Linked DNA regions of Tamandua tetradactyla. The protein of the gene in region 1 interacts with the protein of each later gene in a pairwise test. Links are inferred from orthologs where the notes say so. Each region holds a gene or a part of one and is shown on either strand. Other genes may lie near its edges.

Region 1 (9,965 bases):
GGTTACTGATTTCTTGTTTATGTTATCATTTGAACATATCACTTCGTTCTTTAATTCCATTCACTGTCAATACTCCAGGTCACCTAGCCTCCCATTCAGAACATTTAATCAAAGACTTTTGGACCCCAAACCCTCAGAAAACAGATCTCTATAGGGAAATAGCAGAAAGATTATTAGGCCAGTTAATGGAAAGTATGGATCTTTAGGATCCAAAGATCTCTATAAACAACAAGGCAAATCAGGGGAAAGGAGTCCCTCCTCTCCTTAAAAGCAGAATGAATACATTTGTGTATGTGCTGCTGAAGCGAGCACCAGAATGAAAATATTTATACAAGAGAAAATAAAAGAAATCCCTTTGAAGGAGGAAAAGTTACAACAACATGTATGGGAACATGAGGACTGCAGATTAAAATGCTATTACCTCCCTAAGGGGTGGTCTAAATACCCTGGTTACAGTAAACAACAGGCACCCTGGTTTCAGGGAGGTGGAGATTTAGCCAGAATGCTGGCTACAGGGCAGGAAGTACCCCAGCCCAGCCTCAGCTGAACTTTCATCACTTTCCTATAAGGATGACAATAACCTTTTGGAATCCTCTGCAACAAATCTTTCTCCTCCTTCCTTGTCCCTACAAAGGTAGAAACAGAGGTTAGCAAATCTCTGAGCTTGTTCCTTGTACCCCAGCAGGATTAGTTTACCAATCCAAACCCTCTTCATAAGAAGCTAAGATTTTGTTTCTTAATGAAAAGTTCAACACCGAGAAAAGACAGCAAAGTCAACCTTAGGCAGACAAATTAAGGAAGGAACAAGTATGAAGCCTATTTTAACCTTAGCTAGGCCCAAGCAAGTCACTCAGAAACTTTCTTAAAGTCAAAATGGTACTCAGGGCCCTCTCTAGGATGGTTATAAATGGCATGTTTTGTCTAGATCTTTTGGGTCACACCCTGGCCCTAACTAAAACAAACTTCCTGGTTCCAAGAACTCACTATTCCTTGACCCTTTGGACAAGTGGACAATCTGTCACTATTTCAAGCTTCCTAGCCCTTTCCAGCCTGGATTTATGTCCCCAGAAAATAGGAGCAGCATTGGACCAGACTCAGACTGTGATGGAGTAAATGGTCATTGTACATCTCAGGGCATGTTGAAAAATTAGTTAACTGAACTCCCTTCGGAGACACATTTACTCCTAGCTCTAAGCAAGAAGCATAATATTAAAACAACAAAAAAATCTTATTTTAAGAGATTCTCACCACTTCCTCAACTTCTGCACCTCAGTTTTAACCTCTTCCCCCTCACAATCCAAGACACACACGTACATGCCACCAGAAGATGTTATCCCAACACTTTCAGTATCCTTAGGGCCCAGATGCATTGATGGCATGTGGCAGAAAATCCCATCCCACAGTGAAGATTCCTCCCAGTTCAACACAGTGAAGAAATAAACAAAAACAGAAGAGGCAGAGGCAGTAGAAACCATAGTCTGCCCCTTCCCACACGAAGAGGCACAGAAGTCTCAGAAGTCAGTGAAAATGGCATCATCTCTTGCCAGAAGGCCACCAGCTACCACTGGCTGGGAGCCGCATTATCACTTGTTTCTCCTCTGGACTGAAGTGCAAGATAGTCAGAATGGCTGTGAGCGTCTGCTGGCGGCCCAGCATGTCAGGCAAGGTCAGAAAACGGTAGATGATGTTTTTGAGGTACTCCAGGTTGGCTCCCTCCCTACTCTGGTCCCTGATGTTCTTTTCAATGTGGCTCTGCAGGGCTCCAACCTCCTCACGATGCCGCTCCCCCTCCTCCAGCAGCCGATCCTGCAGCTGATGCACCTCTACCTCCAGCCTGTGCTTCTGTTTCCTGAGTGATGTGATCTCCACCTCTTTGCGGGCCAACTGCTCAGCATACAGGAAGAACGTGGGCTCGTTGGCCGCAGCAAGTTGCAGTGCTTGGGTCAGGCTATCCGAGGCAGATGTGTCAGCTGGGTCTCCAAGACCCCCACTACCCACAGGGCTTCTGCGTCCCGGCAGCCCAGAGGAAAAAGCCACAGAGCGCAGTTGCTCCAGCTCCAAATCCTTCTCCGCCAGGACAGTCAGGGCACGGTCCCGCTGCTTGTGCAGCTCCTCCTCCAGCTTCAGTGTGCGGTCCCTGAAGTCCAGCTGGCTCCGCTCCAGCTCCTGCCGGTGGAGCTGCTGCAGCCGGGACAGCTCCTGCTTCTGAGCCTCAGCCTCCTGTTGGTGCTGCCGCTCGAGTTCCTCACAGGATAGCCGCAGGGAGATATACTTCTCCTTTAGCTCTGCAAGCTGTTCCTGGGCTTCCTCCAGCTCCTTTGCCACGTTACCATCTTTGGTGCTCTTGTTCTTGAGGACGACCTGGGCCCTCATCTTGTACCTCTCAAACTCTTCCTTCAGCTGTTTCAGCTCCTGCTGATAGTAGAGCGCAGTAGCCTTCTCCCCATCAGCCGCCTCCGAGCTAGGCATTATCTCTAGGTCGCAGAGCTTCTCCACATCCAGGGTCATCTGGCTTTTCCTGGCTGCGACCTGCAGTAGCCTCTTTAGCTTCTCCATCTTATCCTTCAGGACATTGACATCCAAACTGGACTCCTCTCCATGGCTGTCTAGAGGGGATCTGCTGGAGGCAGCTAGAGCCAGAGTCCTGTTCTCCATGTCCAGCTGCAGCATGCGCTCCTTCAACTTCTGGATGGCCAGCTGGTCCTTCTGTTTGGCTTTCTCATAGGTACCAAGCAGTTCAGACACCTCAGATATTTGGTTCTCCAGGGCCGCCACCCTCTGCTCTTCCATCTGAGATTGCTGGCGGAGTTGATCCTCTACAAGGGCTGTCTGCAAAACAAGGGGACATGTTGTATTGAGAAAAGCCACAAAGACCTGTGGCAAATTTTGAGAAAGCAAGAGAGAGAGCAAAATGGGTCACAGGATGGGGTGGCCTGGCAAGAATGAGAACAAAGGATTTTTCTGCAGATTAGAGTGCTAACAAAAGTTCCTATGGCTTACTTGTTCTGTTCCCAGATACATATCATACCAAACAATATTAAGCACCTTTGTATATTTGGTGCTGTTCTGCTTTAATGCTCCCATTTTCCTCCCATCATACACTTAGCTCACATATAAAGTGCATTCCTGATGCTTATTATGTACACTCCCAAATCCTATTAAGAAATCATGTTTTTCCCTCTTCCAGTATTCCTAGAAATTTAAAACTGAGTTGGATCTTTCCATACTGTAAAGATGCACTGTGAAATAGCACAACTTTCCAGAACAGACAATCCTAGACTGAAAGCAATTACAAAAGATTGTTTCTTCTGAGAAAACTTATTTATTCCCCCATGAGTCCTCCATACACTATATTTCACTGAACAGTTGCCACTATACTGCTTCCCGGAGCACAGCTGACAAGATGCCAATAGCCAGAAGCTCAAAGCTGCCTGGCTCCCATACGGCCTACACTTAGAAATGTCATGTTCTATTGGAAGCTGGACACTAACAGTGGATACTGTCAACATCATACAGAACAGGATTTCCCAGAATTACCTAGTCAAACTTTACAGATAGTATCAAAAATGCCAGTGGAGCCACTTGGATCTAAAATTACAAATTACTAATGGAGGAAAAACCCTAATATTTTCCACTTCAGATTAATGACAAATGTATGAAGGGATAATTACCTTCCTCATTTCCTGCTGCAACTGAGCTTGGAAATGATTCTTTAAGCAAGCAGCCTCTTCCTGAAGCTCCTGCACCCGAGAGTCAGGTCGATTCTTCTCATCCCGAAGAGCCTGCAGTTCACCCTTCAGCATCTCCACTTCACGGCTCAGCTGCTTGGTCTGCAGTTCAAATCCTTCTATCTGATCAGCTGCATATGCTCGCCCCACCAGGGCTTCTCGGGTCTCTTCCAACCGGAGCTCCAAATCCTGGCGCTGGGTCCTTTCTTCCTGCAGCAGTTTCTGGAGCTCACGCAGCATCAAGGCATGGTCACTCTGCTCTTGGGCCCTATCATGCTGCTGCGAGATAAGTCGGGCTTTGGTTTCTGCTATCTGCTCCTGCAGCCCCTTCAATTCCCCCTCCAGAAGGCCCCTCTCCTCCTCTGCCTTTTTATTGGCATCCTCTAAGTCCTGTTTCATCTTCTTCTTGTCGGCCAGGTAAGAAGCCTCCATGCGAGACTTCTCCTGGGTGACTGTAGCCAAAGAGCTGGTCAAAGTAGCCAACTGAGTCTTGAGCTGGTGCAGTCGTTTGTCCACTTCCCCACCCGCAGAAGGTCCATCTCCACTGCTACTGCTAACGCCACTCTCCGACCCACTGGCCTCTTCGGACTTTGCAGGTGGCAGTCCACGGGCCGGTTTGTCATCTTCTACCCCAAGCTCACCCTTGGTACTGGTGAGACTGGCCGCAGTATCCAAGCTGGCGGCAGTCCCAGTGCTATCACCACTATGAGTGGAGCACCGGTCATCAACAGAGTCAGGAAAGGTGAGGCCTGGAGGTTGGACACCGGTGAGACCCAAATCCGCCTCGTGGGACACCGACAGCACTTTAATGCTGGCCTCTAGAGCCTCCTTCTCCTTCAGGAGGCTTTTATAAGCGCGGACAACATCCTTGAGCCGTGCCTGGTACTGGAGAAGCTGCTTTTTCTGCGACTCTATGGTATCCAACAGGTCTTTCTTGCTCGGACCGCCTCCAAAACTCATCCCAAACTTCTCCATGAGCGTGCTGGGCGGGCTGCTCCACGTCAGCGTTAGGCAGCTCGGGAGAGACCCGCGGAGACACGGGCGGGGACTTACTATAAGGCACAGGGAGAGAGTTGTCCGATTGCGGGGCGCACACCTGCTTCTTCCAGCTGTCGGGTACCGGATGCGGCGGCGGAGCAAGTTGGCAGGGGCGCCCGCGGTGTGCCAGGCCCGGCGGATGGGAGCGGGTCCTAGCCTCGACGCGCGCACGAGAGAACCGCAACCCCAGCACTTTCCGCACTGACCACTTCGCGCTCCCTTCTCACACAGCCCACAGCAGCTCGGGCCGCCCCCACTACCCTTGGCCCAGGCTCGGCCAAGGGCTTATACCGAGGGCTGTCGCATCACCGCTTACTATTACGGAGGCCCGCGACAATGGCGCTTTCGGGTCCGCTGGAAGTGACGACAGGACGCCGTCCGGGCTCCGCCCAGAGTGGGCGCGAGGTAGGCGTGGCTACTTCAAACTGTGGCTGAGGCAGTTGCCGGCTGAGAGCTCGGTGGGTTTACCGGTAGAGGAACCGTCTTGGGAAGAACGGAGTAAGCAAAGTCGAGGACACTGGGTGGTTTAATCTGGTGACGTCAGGGCGCCTGAAGTTGCCCTTCGGGCTCGATCAGAGAGCTTCAGGGGGCGATGTCGCCCTGCATTCCTGCCGAACACTCCAGGTGGGCGAAGCGTCCCTACTATTTGGGGCCCAGTAAGTATGCCCCTAAAGTGCCATAGAGTCCCTTTTTTACCATGGAAACTGCAGCTGTTTCTGGCTCAGTGCTTGCTTGGCACCTAATAGGCATATAATATAATAATTGTTAGCACTCTTCGTGAGTCGATTCAATAAATATTTATAGAGAGCACTTCGTATCGACCAAATGTATGCCAGTAACTTCACAAGAGTTTGCTACCGAGTCTTTGCAATAATTCTACTCAGTAACATTAATACAGTTTTACAGATATGAAAACATGAGGCACAGACAGGGTAAGTAACATGGCCAAGCTAGTAAGTTTAGGAATCCTAACCAGATCAGCCTGACACTGCATATTAGATGATGTGCCAGATGATAATACTGTGAAGGGACATGGCCCTGTCCTCAAGGAGCTCACAATCTAGTGAGGAACTGATATGCAAACACAAATCCTGCTATCATACCAGTATTGATGGATATTTTCAAAGTGGTACGGAACTTAAGACAGGAATAGGCAGAGAAGACTCTTGGGGAAAATACATTGGTTTTGGAAGATGAGAAACAGCTGCCCATCTAACTAGAAATGAAGGAAACCAGCATTCCCGGCAGAATGAAAAGATCACAAGAGGCATCTGAAAGCCTGGCTCATCCAGAAAGCATTAAGAATCACATCAAGACAGTAGCTTTGGGTATGTGAAGTAGGTGACAACAGATGGGAAGGCACAACAGGTGGGAACCCAATTAAGGCACTTCGATTTTATCTTGGGTGATAGGAAGATACCAAAGATTTTCATCTCAAGGGTAGTACCATCAGGACTACTATAGCAGGGTAAGATATCAGGAGCAGGAGTCAGGTGAGAAGGCTCAATTATAGGGAAGAGTTTTAGTAAAATAGGACAGTGACAACTGGGATGGAAAGAAAGGGGATGATTAAAGAGCCAAAGATGTAGAACTGACCTAACTTGGTGGCCACTAGCTGTGTTATTATATGGGTACTTTTTTTTATGCTAATGCAATTTATTATTATTTTTTGGATGCTAATGCAATTTATTTGCTTGCTTAACTGCAAGCTGCCAACGCAGGTAGTACCCAATAACTGGGTCAGGGGCATACAACACATTTAAAGATGGAGGATTCCTGAGTCTCTAAAGTCCAGCAGCCCAAGAGCCAATACAAGGAAGGCAAATAGCTTTAAGGAGAGGCCTCAGGAGCCTGTCTGACACAGTATCAGTAGAGGTCCAAAGCCGAGAAGGAGGTGAGGACAGCCGCAAACAAGCAGCACAGCACAGACATTGGAGGCAAGTGACTGAGCGAGCCTGCCTCTTATATTGGTACTTTTTAAATGTACTTTTTTTTTTTTTACCTGGTATGAGCCTTCCTAAGAATGGAATATATGACTGAAGAGCAAAGGAAAACCATGCACTTGTGCACACCTTGTTCCCAAAGTCTGTTCTCATTCCACTTTGCAGACCATGATGGGGCAGGCCCTAGAAGTGTGCTTCATTCCAGTTTCTTTGTGGCCCAGTAAAATCTAGCTGCCTAACACAAAACATTCAGATACAATTATCCCATTTACCATAATCTCCTGAGATAAATATGGCAGACATTGTCCTTTTATAGATGAGAAAACCACAGAATTGTGAGGGTTGTTTAAGCCAAACTCTCAAAAAAATGGCAGAACAGATTTAAACTAAGACTTGGAATGGTGCTGGCACATGGGAATACTCAATAAATATTTGTTGAGTAAATGAATGAATGAAGATTTTCTGATTCCCAACCTAGTCCATAAGCAGTTGATCCTAGAAGCCCACTGGGACTCCAGAATAAATATAATGTCTGTACTTGCTCCACTGAGCTCCCTATCAGTCCAGTTTAACCCAACAAGTATTTGCTAAGCATAATTTAGGTGCCTGGGTACTGATCCCAGTCTCTAGAAATTTAGGTTCTTTCCTATCTTGCTTTTCCTCTCAGATGCTAAGAGGGGAAGATTGTTTGTGAAGTTCTTTGGGTCTAGGGAGGCAAGAAGCCCATAAATCCTGGACAGGTGTGCATTAATCCAGGTTCCCATGTTCGTGGCAAAATGGAGAAAGGAACTTCAGAAAAGCTGCGTGGCCCCAGATTGAAAGGCAGTGTTCCCAGGGCATTATGGCGAAGGCAGAGTTCTCCAGCACTCTAGGGGTGGGTCTGCGACCATGCAGCCGAGAGCTACTGCTTGAAGAGCTATAAACCAGGCGTTTTAAAGAACCATGAAAGCTATCACCAGGGCATCTTCCCTCATCTCTGGCTCACTCCTCACCTGATTCTGCAGTCCCTTTATCACCTACGCATAAAGCGCCTCATTAGGAGCTGAGGAGGCAAAAGGGAGGAGTAAGAACGGAGTTTCCGCTCTCCTAAGGTGGGTGGTGCACGCAGTAGGTGCAGCTACCTTCCAAGGGCTGTAGCAGAGCCCAGAGTGGGCTGGACGCAATAGAACCAAAGTCCCAGCGGCGGGCCACTGAAGACGGGGACAGGGGGCTGCTTGGAAAGTTGAAGGCTTTCCTCAGCCCCGATCGGGCTGCTATATGAGCAGCCACAAACCTGAAAGGCGAGCTAGAAACTGCAGAGGCCTAGACCCTTTCCTTCTTCAAAGCCCGTGGAGGATTCAGCGAAGGTGCGGAGACTCAGCTTCAACTTCTCCAGGAGAGGGCTGGGGGGCGGAGCTGGGGGCGGAGCTGGGGGCCCGCGGTGACGTAGGGCGGGCCAGGACGCGCGGAGGAGGCGGCGGCGGCGGAGCCTCCTGCTGCTGGTGCTGGTGCTGCTGCTAGTGCTGCTGCGCCGGGTTCCCCCGCGGCCGGCGGCCTCCAGCCCGCACCCGGCGTCCGTGCCCGCACCCCTCCCCCGGGCCCCGCCATGGGCCTCACAGTGTCCGCGCTCTTTTCGCGGATCTTCGGGAAGAAGCAGATGCGGATCCTCATGGGTGAGGCAGACCAAGCGCGCGGCCCGGACCCGGGCGCCGGCCCCCGCGCAGCCCTCCCGCCCCCGCGCCCCTCCAGCCGGGCTCACCCGGATCTCTGGCCCCGCTGCACCCACCTCCTAAGCCCCCAGGACCGGCGCTGCTCTCGGGTGGGTCCGGTCTGCAGCGCCGCCCCTGAGGCCTGAGACCGGGAGCGGCGGGCCTGGGTGGGGTGAAGCGCCCTCCGCCCCGGCCCGGCTGGTAAGAAGGGAAGATTCCGCCCTTGGGGACGCCTTTTAGAGGAGCGCGGCCCTCCTCCGGTGTCCCTTACTCCCGCAAACCCCAACCCCAGTTTTCTCCCTTCTTGCCCAGTTTGGGGGCAGGAGTTGGCGCACATCATCCTGACTGCCCTCAGGCCCCTGGGGTAGATAACAGCGCGCACCTGGACGCGCTCCGGCTCTCCGCCCCCGTCACCACCCGCAGTCCTGACCTCTCCCCTTCCCTGGTCTCTAGGGGGCTCCCTCATTCCCGTTTCCATCTCTCTGCCCCTCTCCGTTGTAGTTGGCTTGGATGCAGCTGGCAAGACCACAATCCTGTACAAACTGAAATTGGGGGAGATTGTCACCACCATCCCCACCATAGGTGAGCCGGGGAGCGGGAGCACCACCGCGATCCTTCTCGGGGTCTGCTCCCTGTTCTGCCTGAGGCCCTTATCTCTCTCCCCGGAGCTGACCCTGACACCAGATACGGCTACTTGAGAAGTGGGTCTGGATGTCTCTCTACTTGCGGGGTGGGGGGGTGGGGGGGTGGGGGGGGCGGGAATACTGCGGGAGGCGGGGTGAATGTGAACTAGCCCCGCCCCAGCTGTTGACTGCCGGTTCTCTGGGGTTCTTTTCCCCTGTTCTTGATCACTGCCCTCTGGTTTTGTGTCCCTGCTGAGATCCAAGTAGTTTTAGTGAGTCCTTCTTTACAAGACTTTTTTCCATATTTTTCCAATTATCTGTAGGCTTCAATGTGGAAACAGTGGAATATAAGAACATTTGTTTCACGGTCTGGGACGTGGGAGGCCAGGACAAGATTCGACCTCTGTGGCGGCACTATTTCCAGAACACTCAGGTAGGAGCTTGGGAACCCCAGGGAAGAGAAAGTAGGGCTAGGACTGAGAAGGTAGCCTAGCTGGGTCCCCAGGCCAGGTTAAAAAGAAAAAAACCTTTCTTCCTCTTCCCCCTTTTCTTGGCTGGCCTCTACTCATCCTTCTGAGACTTCATCCTCTTAGGCTTCTGAGAAACAGAGCCCTGGGTCCACGCTGCCTGACTGAGCTCGCATCACCATAGCTTTATTGTCTGTTCCCTTGAACACCTTTTAGCTAGACCACTCACTCCTTGAGAACAGAGGCTGCATCCTTTGCTGTGGTGTCTCCAGCTTGTGCTAGGATTTCTGCAGGGCCTTGGTGAAAGCTTGCTAGACAAGAGGGATTTAGGCCCAATTAAAGAAGGGAAGATGAGAGAGAGGAGCAGACTAGAGCATGTTCCAGTTGGGGATGATCGTTCGTTCCTTTTTCCTTTCTTGCTTCCCATCCAGGGCCTCATCTTCGTGGTGGACAGTAATGACCGGGAGCGGGTCCAAGA
Region 2 (10,052 bases), on another chromosome or scaffold:
TACAGGATTGTTTAAAATAGCTAGCAAACAAATGAACAACATAACCTAAAAACCTCAAAGCCCATCAAGATGCTATGTTACACAGAAGTATAAGTGAATAAATATCATATAAACATACATATACCGATATAGATGATTCTCAAAAACATAAGATAGAAAAAAAAAAAAAGCAAGCCACAAAGGAATATAAACATAAAAACAGAAAAAAAAAAGGAAAGGAATACATCTGTATGTGAAAAAATGATTTTAAAAAATGGGAATGATTAGCTGGAATACATCATGAATAAAAGAAAGGACTCTGGTGTGTTAGTTTGCAAGCTGCCAGATGTGATATATCAGAACTGGAACGGCTTTTAAAAAGGGGAATTTAATAAGTTACACGTTTAAAGTTCTAAGCCTATAAAATTGTCCAAACTAATACACCTAAGGTTACCTTCACTCAAGAAAGGCCCATGGGTCAGGAACACCTCTATCAACTTGGTAGGCACACAGCTGGCATATGCTTCTGGCCTCCACTGCCTTCAGCCTCTGTTCCTGTGGGGGTTCCTCACCTTGCTTCTCTGGGGCTGGCTTTCATCTCTTGGGTTCCCTTGGCTCTATCCAGGTTCTGGCTTAGTATCTCATGGCAATGTCTGCTGGGCTCCAAGCATCTCCAAACATCCGTGTCTCTGTTCTCCACGTGTCTATATCTGTCAGCTCTGCTGTGAAGTTTCTGTCAGCTATGAGGCTTCTGTCATTCTCCAGAATACCTCCTCTTTTAAAGGATTCCAATAAACTAGTCAAGACCCATCTGGGATGGGTGGAGTCACATATCCATCAAATCAAAGGTCACACCCACAATTGGGGGCATCACATCTCTCTGGAAATAATCTAATCAAAAGATTCCCCTAAAGAACTGAATCAGGATTAAAAGAAACAGCTGCTCCAACAAGATTGCATAAGGATTATAACGTGGCTTTTCTGGGGTACGTAATACTTTCAAACCAGCACACCTGGGTTCAAATTCAAGCTCTACCATTTACTAGTTATGTAAGTTTAATGCCAGCTTCATAAGGTAACAACCTTATGTGAAGATTAAATTAACTGATGTATGAAAAATGCTTAACTCTTTGTCTGCCAGTTAATACTATATAAGTATTAGGTATTATTGTAATCTCAAAATTTATGGTAGTGGTTGTGTATGTGTGAAGGAAGATACAAAAAGGGGCATGAAGGTAATCACTTTACTATTCTCTAAAATAAATCATATATATTTTCAATGTTGCTCAAAGTGACATGAGGGCACTGACTGTGGTTATTGGGAAAACAGAGAACCGAAATGAAAGACATTCTTTTGTGTTTCAACTCTATGCTGCCTGAACTTCTAATTTAGCATTAATTCCATCATGTCAATCATAATTGTTTTCCTGCTTTCTCCACTAGAGAGTGATACAGAGTAATCCCTCCATAAATGCTGTTTCTGCTACTCTTATTGCTACTGTTGCAGTAAATAAATACATAGAAAAACCAATTCAAACCTATCACCTACTTTCATGTTGATCATATTTGAAATGTAAGAGATATACAGTTACCCTGTAAAAATCCTTGCCTGGTAAAAGCATCTCCATTTATTATAGCTAGCTCTATCCTGATTTTATCACTTCCAAATACATATGAGTTTTTACTGCTCACAACCCTGAAGTCTGATAGGAGTAATCTGAGTTCACGTTGTAGCGTTATAAGGTCTTTTTTATGCCTTGTCTTAGATTATAATCAGCTGCTAAGCTAAAGTGCTCTTTTTAATACTGCAGGCCATGTTGGAAATGCAGCCTTATTTTAGGCGGACAGAGAAAAAAAATATCTAAGCAGGGCCATCTCTTACGCACGGAGAAATAGGTTAAATTGTGTTGAGATGTAGCTTCAAAATTAGACATTTTGATGTAGCACATCAAGTTAGTTGAGAAGATGGTTATAATTTGATTTGTAAAGGGTCCTAGATATTTTATTGTTCTCAATATTTAGAACCCAGTTAAATCTGAGCTTAGCACATTAAAATATGTCTTCTGTTACACACTCTTTTGGATTTCTGGAGTGCCTATCGTAAGGACTACAGGTTGAGCACATCCCAGCGCCACTACTCATCTTCGGAGTGCAGCTCAATTCCACATTTTAAAGGGTCTTTTCAACCTCAAAGTGCTATTTTAAGAGCACATCTTCTCCCAATTAAGTTTAATTAATCACATCTCATACTGAAAATCTCATCCATTTACAGAGAGACACCTCTTTCTAATTGTCTCATAGTTGTTTTATCTTCCCTTTTACTGACATTAATTTCTGAATAAACTCCAACTGTTTTTTAATCTCTGCTAACCTCTCTGAGGACTTATGATTACCCTCTTTCTGCCGAAACCCTGAAGGTTGCTTCTGGCCTCATTATCCCAAATCCTAAAGACAGCCATAGAAACCTGAAACTGAAGAAAGGCATGACTTCTCAAAGTGAATCTGCTCTTAGCATTCTTTAAACTTTCTCCCCCTTAACTTCTATGCCATTACTTGACCCTGATGTTTTTGGTCTTTTTCTCTCCCAGATTCTATATAAGGACCTTCAAAACCATACTTTTACCTACTTTTCCAATTCATCTCACAACACTACCTCCATATTACCTATGCTTATTCCAAGTTATTTCAAGTTTCCTGAAAGCACCTATTATTTTGGCTCCTATCCCCAAAATGCCTATGGTGCCTTTTTCTTCTTCCTATTCTATTCTTGCAAGAAGCACTTAAAATTCCTTCCCCATTCAACTCCATCTTCTCTTCAAGAAAACCTCATCTGTCTACCCAAACAATACTAGCCACTCTTGCCTAGATTAGTCCGGCATGACAATATTTTTCAAACTGTTCTGTGTAGTAATCATTTAATTATATGTTGTTTCTCTTCAGTGTTTTTCTCCTTCAGAGCAGCAGCTCTATATTCTTCATCTGTGTAATCTCAGCCTAATAATATGCCAGTAACTCACCACTGGCTGAATGAATAGAAAAGTCCTTTAACTTAATAAGCCTTGTCACACTTACTTCCCAACTATTCTCAACGGGACAGTTCCCAAACCACTAAGCATTAGACACTCTAATTCAACCAAGTGACTGAATTGGTGGCCCTTGTGGAGGCGAAAACAATATTTGGAATCATCAACCCATATCTGAAATTTTCAAAAAACGTACGTTTTTAAAACAACACAGAAAAGTACGTGGAAAAGGCATTTAAACGTTGCAGCCCTAATAATATGGTGGGATATGGGAAGCGCGCGCTTCTGGTCTGATCACGGAACAACATTACTGGGAAGACAGGAGGCAGGGAGTCTGCAGGCAAAAGAGTAAGCAAAAACGAGAATGCACGTGATAAACAACGGACTACTCAAAAGCTGTCTATTAAACCGACAAGCGCGCCTACCTGGTCTCCGCCAGTTTCCAAAAAGGGGCCGTTACCGCCACGTGACCAAAGCAGTTACGCTTTCTCAGGCCAGGGAGCCGGTACAGTTTTCCCAGCCGAGTCTAGGCAACATTCGGCAACCTGGACTGCTAGACCCACACGGGGGATGGGGGTGAAGTGGGGCGGGACGGAGGGAGTGGCGGACCAGTCCTGTTTCACTGGAAGCCAGAGGGTGCAGCTTCAACAGAGAAGCAGTGGAAGCAGGGCTAGCATTGGGCGATCTAGGTGCTCCTCCCCCGTGCCCGCTGTTCCTCAAGATGTGATGAGAGGGAGAGCCGAGAGAGCTCTAAAACATGAGGAAAAGGGAAGAGGCACTAAGAAGAACCGATCTGGAGCCTATCCGAACATCAATAGCTTCTTACCGAGAAATGAGAACCAGAAGTCGCAGAAACCGACGCCGCCGCCATTTTTCTCCTGCCCAGCAGGCCTCCGCAGCTCCGGAACGATCTGGGTTCCCGTGCTCTTCTTCAAGATATGTGAGCCGCCCACCAGGGGCGACCGCAAGCCCGGCCCCTGATGGAAGGGGCGAGGGTGCTGGTACCAGGTTTAGAACCCCCTGCCACACACCCCCACCGGGACGCCCAAACTCAGAGCACACGCCGACAGGGCAACACGTCCTGATGGACGGCTTGGATAGCCAATCAAAAAAGCGGACGCCTTCCTGTAGAGAATCCGCCTCTTCCCTCGCTGACGTCACAAGGTAGCGCGTAACTGAGACTGCCAGGAGCCGATAACACTGGGAGCTGCTAGACGGCTTGGGAGGCGACTTTGCAAAGGAAGGAGACTTCTCAAGGAGGAAACGTGGGCCAGGATTTGTGTTGTTGTCTCCGGTGGCAACTGAGTCGAATGATTGAAATAGAGTAAAAATGAATGCGAAGTTCAAACACGCCATCCCTTCTCTTGGGTTAGAAGCCGAAGAGAGCTTGATTTGGGGTGAACTCCTTTTGGCCAATAACAAACCGGACTAGGAGGGGCTTAATGGTTCGGTCCAATAGAAGTCAAATGAAAGAGAGAGGAGGCAGAGACCAAGCCTGTCAAGAACATTTGCCCAATTAGGTTGGGGAGCTCTCACCCAAACCTCGAACCGGCTACTAGAAATAGCTGCGACCCAGGCATAGGGCGGGACTGATTTAAAGCAGATTTCGCGCGCCGAGAACGTCGGGCTGTCATTGGCTAGCAGCTTCCTCCCTTTGTGGGCGCTCCTTGCGTAACCTGGGTGAGGGGTTGGGAGGAGCGACCGAGTGACGCGTAGGCTCCGTGACCAATCGGGGACGCGGAACGGAGGCCGAGAAGGAAGCGGATCGCGTCGCGCAGCTAAATCTTATCGAACTACCGCTTCGTCTCCCTCCGCCGCTACCGGGGCGTAAGCGGGAGAGGCTGGGACAGTCTTGCTTGGTGGGCTGGAGCGGAAGTGGAGGCGGAGGGAGACGGCAGCGTTGCCACAGGGGCCGGGGGACTCTCCGGAAGAGGCCCTGGTGGGCGCGAGGCAGGGGGAGGGGGGAGGAGGAGGAGCCCGTGGCCCGGGCGGCGGCGGTACCAGAGTCCGCCGTAGGGCTCCGCCTCGCAGCGGGCGGCGGTGGAGGAGGAGACTGAGGAGCAGGATGGCGGCGTCGGCCCTGTACGCCTGCACCAAGTGTACCCAGCGCTATCCCTTCGAGGAGCTTTCCCAGGGGCAGCAGCTTTGCAAGGTCTGTGGGCGCCGGGCAGCGGGCGGGCGGGGTTCCCTCGACCGCAATCCAGGGGAGCTGGGTGACTGGTGCACTGCAGCCCCGCGCTCTTCGGCGCTTTTGGGATTTAGGGGTCTGGAGCCTTCGCCTCCCACCCGGGATCCCTTTATCCGAGGGCCTGTACATCAGTCGAGAAGGACCCCTGAGAAAGAGCGACAGAATTCTACCTTCGTCCAGGAGGCCCAAGAGGGGCCGAGCCCCAGCAGCGTTTGGGGGTCTTAGGGGTGGGGCTGAGTAAGGCAGCCACCTGTCTATGCCGCAGAGACCCTGGGATGGAGATGTTTTCATCTCAATGTTCTGCCTGGTCTGTCTTCTCCTTCCACCAGGAGGCAGGGGACAGTTTTTGCACTTTCTTGCTAGGAATCCGAAGCCGCAAAGCTGATGGCATCCTTCTTCCCTGTCCAGGAAAGCGAAGCGACTGGCTTGGGAACAGAATGCTCTATGATTTGGAGCTCCTTCCATCCCATTAAAGCCAGGATGCTGTCTGTGAGCAACGGTGCAAAATAAGTAGTTTCACATTTGATCAGTTCTTGAAACAGGCCCTGACAGCTTTCTTAATTTATCTGTAACATACTCCCACATCTAATACAGACAAAGACGCCTATGCCTTCCCTAAGGAATTATATTGTAATTTGCCATTTATATGATTAATCCCCCAATTGGTTACATTAGTAGATAGGTTTTATTGATGATTGAGACATTTGACTAGGCCGGGTAATAGTTTTCTACCACAAAAGTGAGATTTGGGACGTTGAGATAGATGTTGACTAACGTGTTGTTTTATTACAGGAATGTCGAATTGCACATCCAATTGTAAAATGTACTTACTGCAGATCAGAATTTCAACAAGAGAGGTTTGTATATTTGTACAGTTTTTGATTGTTAAAGACAAAGCATTCTCTCTGAGGAATACTTGGGATATGGTAATTTTGCATGTAATAAATATTTTTAAGGGGTATAGCTTCTTAAATTTTATGTTGTAAACCTTTTATACATGGTGGGAGAGAGAATGTTGGCTAAAACAGTGGTTATTTTACAATTAGACTTCAGTTTACACAAAAGCAAATAAGGAATAAATTATTGCATTGAAAAATATACAGCTTTGCTATGAAGATGCAAATTTAAACAGTTTTTATAAGCTATTAAGAAAATGGTTAAACATTAGTTCTGACATGGATCTGAAGAAAGATCTGTAGCGTTAACCAGTACCTTCCTTCCAAGAGTGGAATCTAGTTACTTATTACCAGTAGAAGGACAGCAAATGCTTTTTAAGAGGGCAATTCCACTTTGAGAACACACAGAAGAAAATAGCTGAAAAGAAGAATAAATAATTTCTCCATAAGGTGTGGATATCATAATAGTGGAGAATGGCCCAGTGGAAAGCTAGGAAGGCACTGATATGTAATGCTGTGCAGTAATACTCTGTAGTGATGGCAGAAGTGAAGATTTTGGAACTAGATAGGAGGTGTTAGGATTTTTGTTTCATTTCTTTTACAAAAAATACATAATTAAAAAAGTCTAAATACATCTTCAGTAGTTTGGAGAGAAGTAACTTGGGTTATTACTGTCCTAAAAAGATCCTTATATTTGTATTAAAAGGAAAACTACTTAGCTACATTAAAGTAATTCATTTCTGTTGCTACAGATCTTTTACTCTTCCACTTGCTTTAGTTGAACATTTTGCTAATCACCTCAGAAAGCTGCATACCTTTGATCGTTTATATGTAATTTCCTTTTCAGCAAAACTAACACAATTTGTAAGAAGTGTGCTCAAAATGTGAAACAATTTGGAACAGTAAGTATGTCTTATGTGTTTATTCCATGCTATTATTACTGGTCAATGTTTTTCACATTGATCTGCCTTTAAAAAAAATGGGTATCGTTATTTTCTTAAACATTTTGGCATATCAAAATATTTCATGAAAGATTTTCTGTAGGTAGCCTGATGAGATAAAAACTTTAAAATAATGAAATTATTACATGGCTTATGTAAAATTTCAGTATGAAATTTCTGAAGGTATTTTTCCTTTAAAGATTCAAATATAGCAAATTCATGGTTATGGAGAATCTAATTATCCATAAAGCTTGCATAAAAGATTTTTCCACCTCTTCATAACCTTAAACTATTTTTATGCAATTCAGATATCACAATAGTCACACTGCCCTAGTATAAATCCTATCCTAGGTCTGCATGTACATTACAATGATCACTGGTTAAATGTTGGGCTTAAGACTCTAAAATCCTGAATTATCTTTTGACTATCAAAGAAAATGTTGGGCTTAAGACTCTAAAATCCTCAATTATCTTTTGAATATCAAAGAATATCAAGGTATATTTGCTATGGATTGTGCTTCAAATTTATCAAATGTGCTCTGCATCATCTTTGTGTGAATTGAAAATTCACTTACAACATGTGTATTGCATCTGGTGAAAAGCTAATACATTTTTAAATAAGTGATATGATAATTAAGCTAACCAAGATATTAAATTAGAAGCAGTTCATTCCCCCAAAACCTTTCATATTTTGAGACCTTTTTTCATGTATAGTTTTTGTATAAGAGACATACAAATCATTAATACATTTCTCATCTTATTTAAATATCCCAAGAGTAGCAGTGAGTTTCATGTCCCTCAAAATAAATATTAGTTGAATGGATAGAAACATGAAAAATGTCATTGAATATGACAGGGCAGCATACTTGACAGAAAACAGATTTTTTCCTATTAGTTTTCTTAATCCTAGAAATACATCTATAACGTTATGTTTGTTTTATGTAGAAATTTACAGTTTTTTTTAAGTGTATCAATTAAAGCAGTGCATATCTCTTTTTCAGCCCAAACCTTGTCAGTACTGTAACATAATTGCAGCATTTATTGGCACCAAGTGTCAACGTTGTACAAATTCAGAAAAAAAATATGGACCACCTCAGACCTGTGAACAGTGCAAACAGCAGTGTGCTTTTGATCGGAAGGAGGAAGGAAGAAGAAAGGTATGTTTTATTTATGGTAAGACATCTTCTAGAAATTAAATAAAATACCAAACAGGTTGGAAGTTATAATTAATATATTACTGAGACATATCTGTCCTTTAGGTCCCTGAAAGCATGTGGTAGATGAAAGTGCGGGAGGAGTGAGTTTTCTCCTTGTTTGTATAATAAGTTGATTCATGTTGGTCAATTGAAATTACTGTACATCAAAAATTATTCTGTACTGGTGTTTTATTCCCCATTGGGTTTGAGAGAATTGCTAACTGCTATTAAATCAACTCTTTGAGCTACTCAGCCTTTTGCTGTTTGCTTGATGTTGCTGCTGTGAAAAACTACTTGATGGCACATTAGCACATGTAATTCAAATTTATTCCTGTGCCTTTTGATTCAGGCCTCATATTTGAAACCATTGTTCATTTTTCTTTGCCTACAGTGACTTAATAAGCATGTGTGTACACGTTATGCACGTGGCATGCCTTGCTGATCAGCAGCCACACAAGCCTCCTGTTGTTTCTCAGTTTCAGTTAATATGGAGGCTGTCTTGTTGATGGGCTTCCCCGGTCTCCCCAAAGCAATGTAGACATTGTACCCAAGTTGTACAACATGTTCCTCCAGCATTCCTTGTGTTAACAGACAGAAAACAAATACCTAATTTTATTTGTATAGGTTTAGTCTTAATAATTTTAGAAAGAAGTCTCCCTTCCCCCTGGCATACATGTAAATCATTGAGGCTCTCCTTTTTTTCTAATAATTCACAGTTTTTCAGTAGAGTGAAATATGTTATTGTTTTAGTAATTATACAGTAATTTAGGAATTCTGGTTAAATTAGGTTTGTGCTTAGGTAAGATTCTTTTGAGGGATATTATCAATTTGTGCTTATTTTCCTGTAGTAGAAAAGGTAATATGTTTCTCTCTTCAAATTAATAATACATAAAACTAATGGAAAGTCCAAATACCATCCTCATCAATTTTATGACTCTGCAAACAAGCATTTTCCCAAGTTTCAAAAAAGTTTAATTTTACTTCTATTTTGCAAAGTCTGTGTGTGTTTGAGTGAAATAGAGCTGTTGAGCAGTTTATCTTACCTAATTTTATTTAGAATCAGCTTATGGTACTTTTAATCTAATCGAAACATTTTCTTAAAAGGTTGATGGAAAGTTATTATGCTGGCTGTGTACTTTATCATACAAAAGAGTTTTACAAAAGACAAAGGAACAAAGGAAGAGCCTGGGATCATCACATTCAAATTCATCTTCTTCATCTCTTACTGAAAAAGACCAGCATCATTCAAAACATCATCACCATCACCATCACCATCGTCACAGCAGTAGCCATCACAAGTAAGTACTTTGAAATCATATTTTCTAAAATCTTCCCTGGCGTTTTAATGCCATATGTCCATGTTTAACTTCTTATACATACTGGCTGTGTTGCTAATCCAGTTTCCATTATGCATGAAAAGCTTCTTGAGTGTATAAGATTGTTTTACCATTTTATTCAGTGTATAAAATTACATACATGGAGTGAGTTTGGCAATTTACCATCATAACAAAAGATAGGACATTGAGGATATTACTAATTAAGATTATGATCATATTTTGAAATTAAAAGACAGATATATCCATTAATAACACTTCATTAATTTGCATCATCAGAAGCCTCAATATTCTTTGTTCAAAGAATTTTACAAGTTAGGATTTTACTTGTAAAAATTGTATTTATCTTGGTTATCATTAATTTGTTTTATTAAAAACAAATATATAGAGAAATACATATATATGAAAACCAGAGACAAAGAAATATACATTGTCTCTTTGAATAACAGATTACAACACTATCTTTTGTGACCATCGTTGAGCCATTCTAAATCT

The links.
Region 2: the proteins of GCC1 (region 1) and CEP57 interact in binary tests that used the Homo sapiens proteins (3 or more experiments, as listed by UniProt). The two-hybrid records come from large-scale screens. The link is inferred for Tamandua tetradactyla from reciprocal best matches to the Homo sapiens genes GCC1 and CEP57.

Annotation. Positions count from the first base shown.
Region 1 is NC_135327.1:168,989,883-168,999,847, forward strand, and holds the start of GCC1 (GRIP and coiled-coil domain-containing protein 1), read right to left. Parts: upstream 4,794-9,965; 5' UTR 4,704-4,793; coding exon 3,672-4,703; intron 2,830-3,671; coding exon 1,534-2,829; 3' UTR 1-1,533. Other genes in the region: ARF5 (ADP-ribosylation factor 5), read left to right, coding at 8,295-8,361, 8,899-8,979, 9,344-9,453, 9,919-9,965. UniProt on the Homo sapiens protein: Probably involved in maintaining Golgi structure.
Region 2 is NC_135334.1:47,134,191-47,144,242, forward strand, and holds the start of CEP57 (centrosomal protein of 57 kDa), read right to left. Parts: upstream 4,636-10,052; 5' UTR 3,874-4,635; coding exon 3,829-3,873; exon of another isoform or gene 3,428-3,828; intron 20-3,427; exon of another isoform or gene 1-19. Other genes in the region: protein FAM76B, read left to right, coding at 5,068-5,154, 5,983-6,047, 6,934-6,988, 8,029-8,184, 9,328-9,521. UniProt on the Homo sapiens protein: Centrosomal protein which may be required for microtubule attachment to centrosomes. May act by forming ring-like structures around microtubules. Mediates nuclear translocation and mitogenic activity of the internalized growth factor FGF2, but that of FGF1.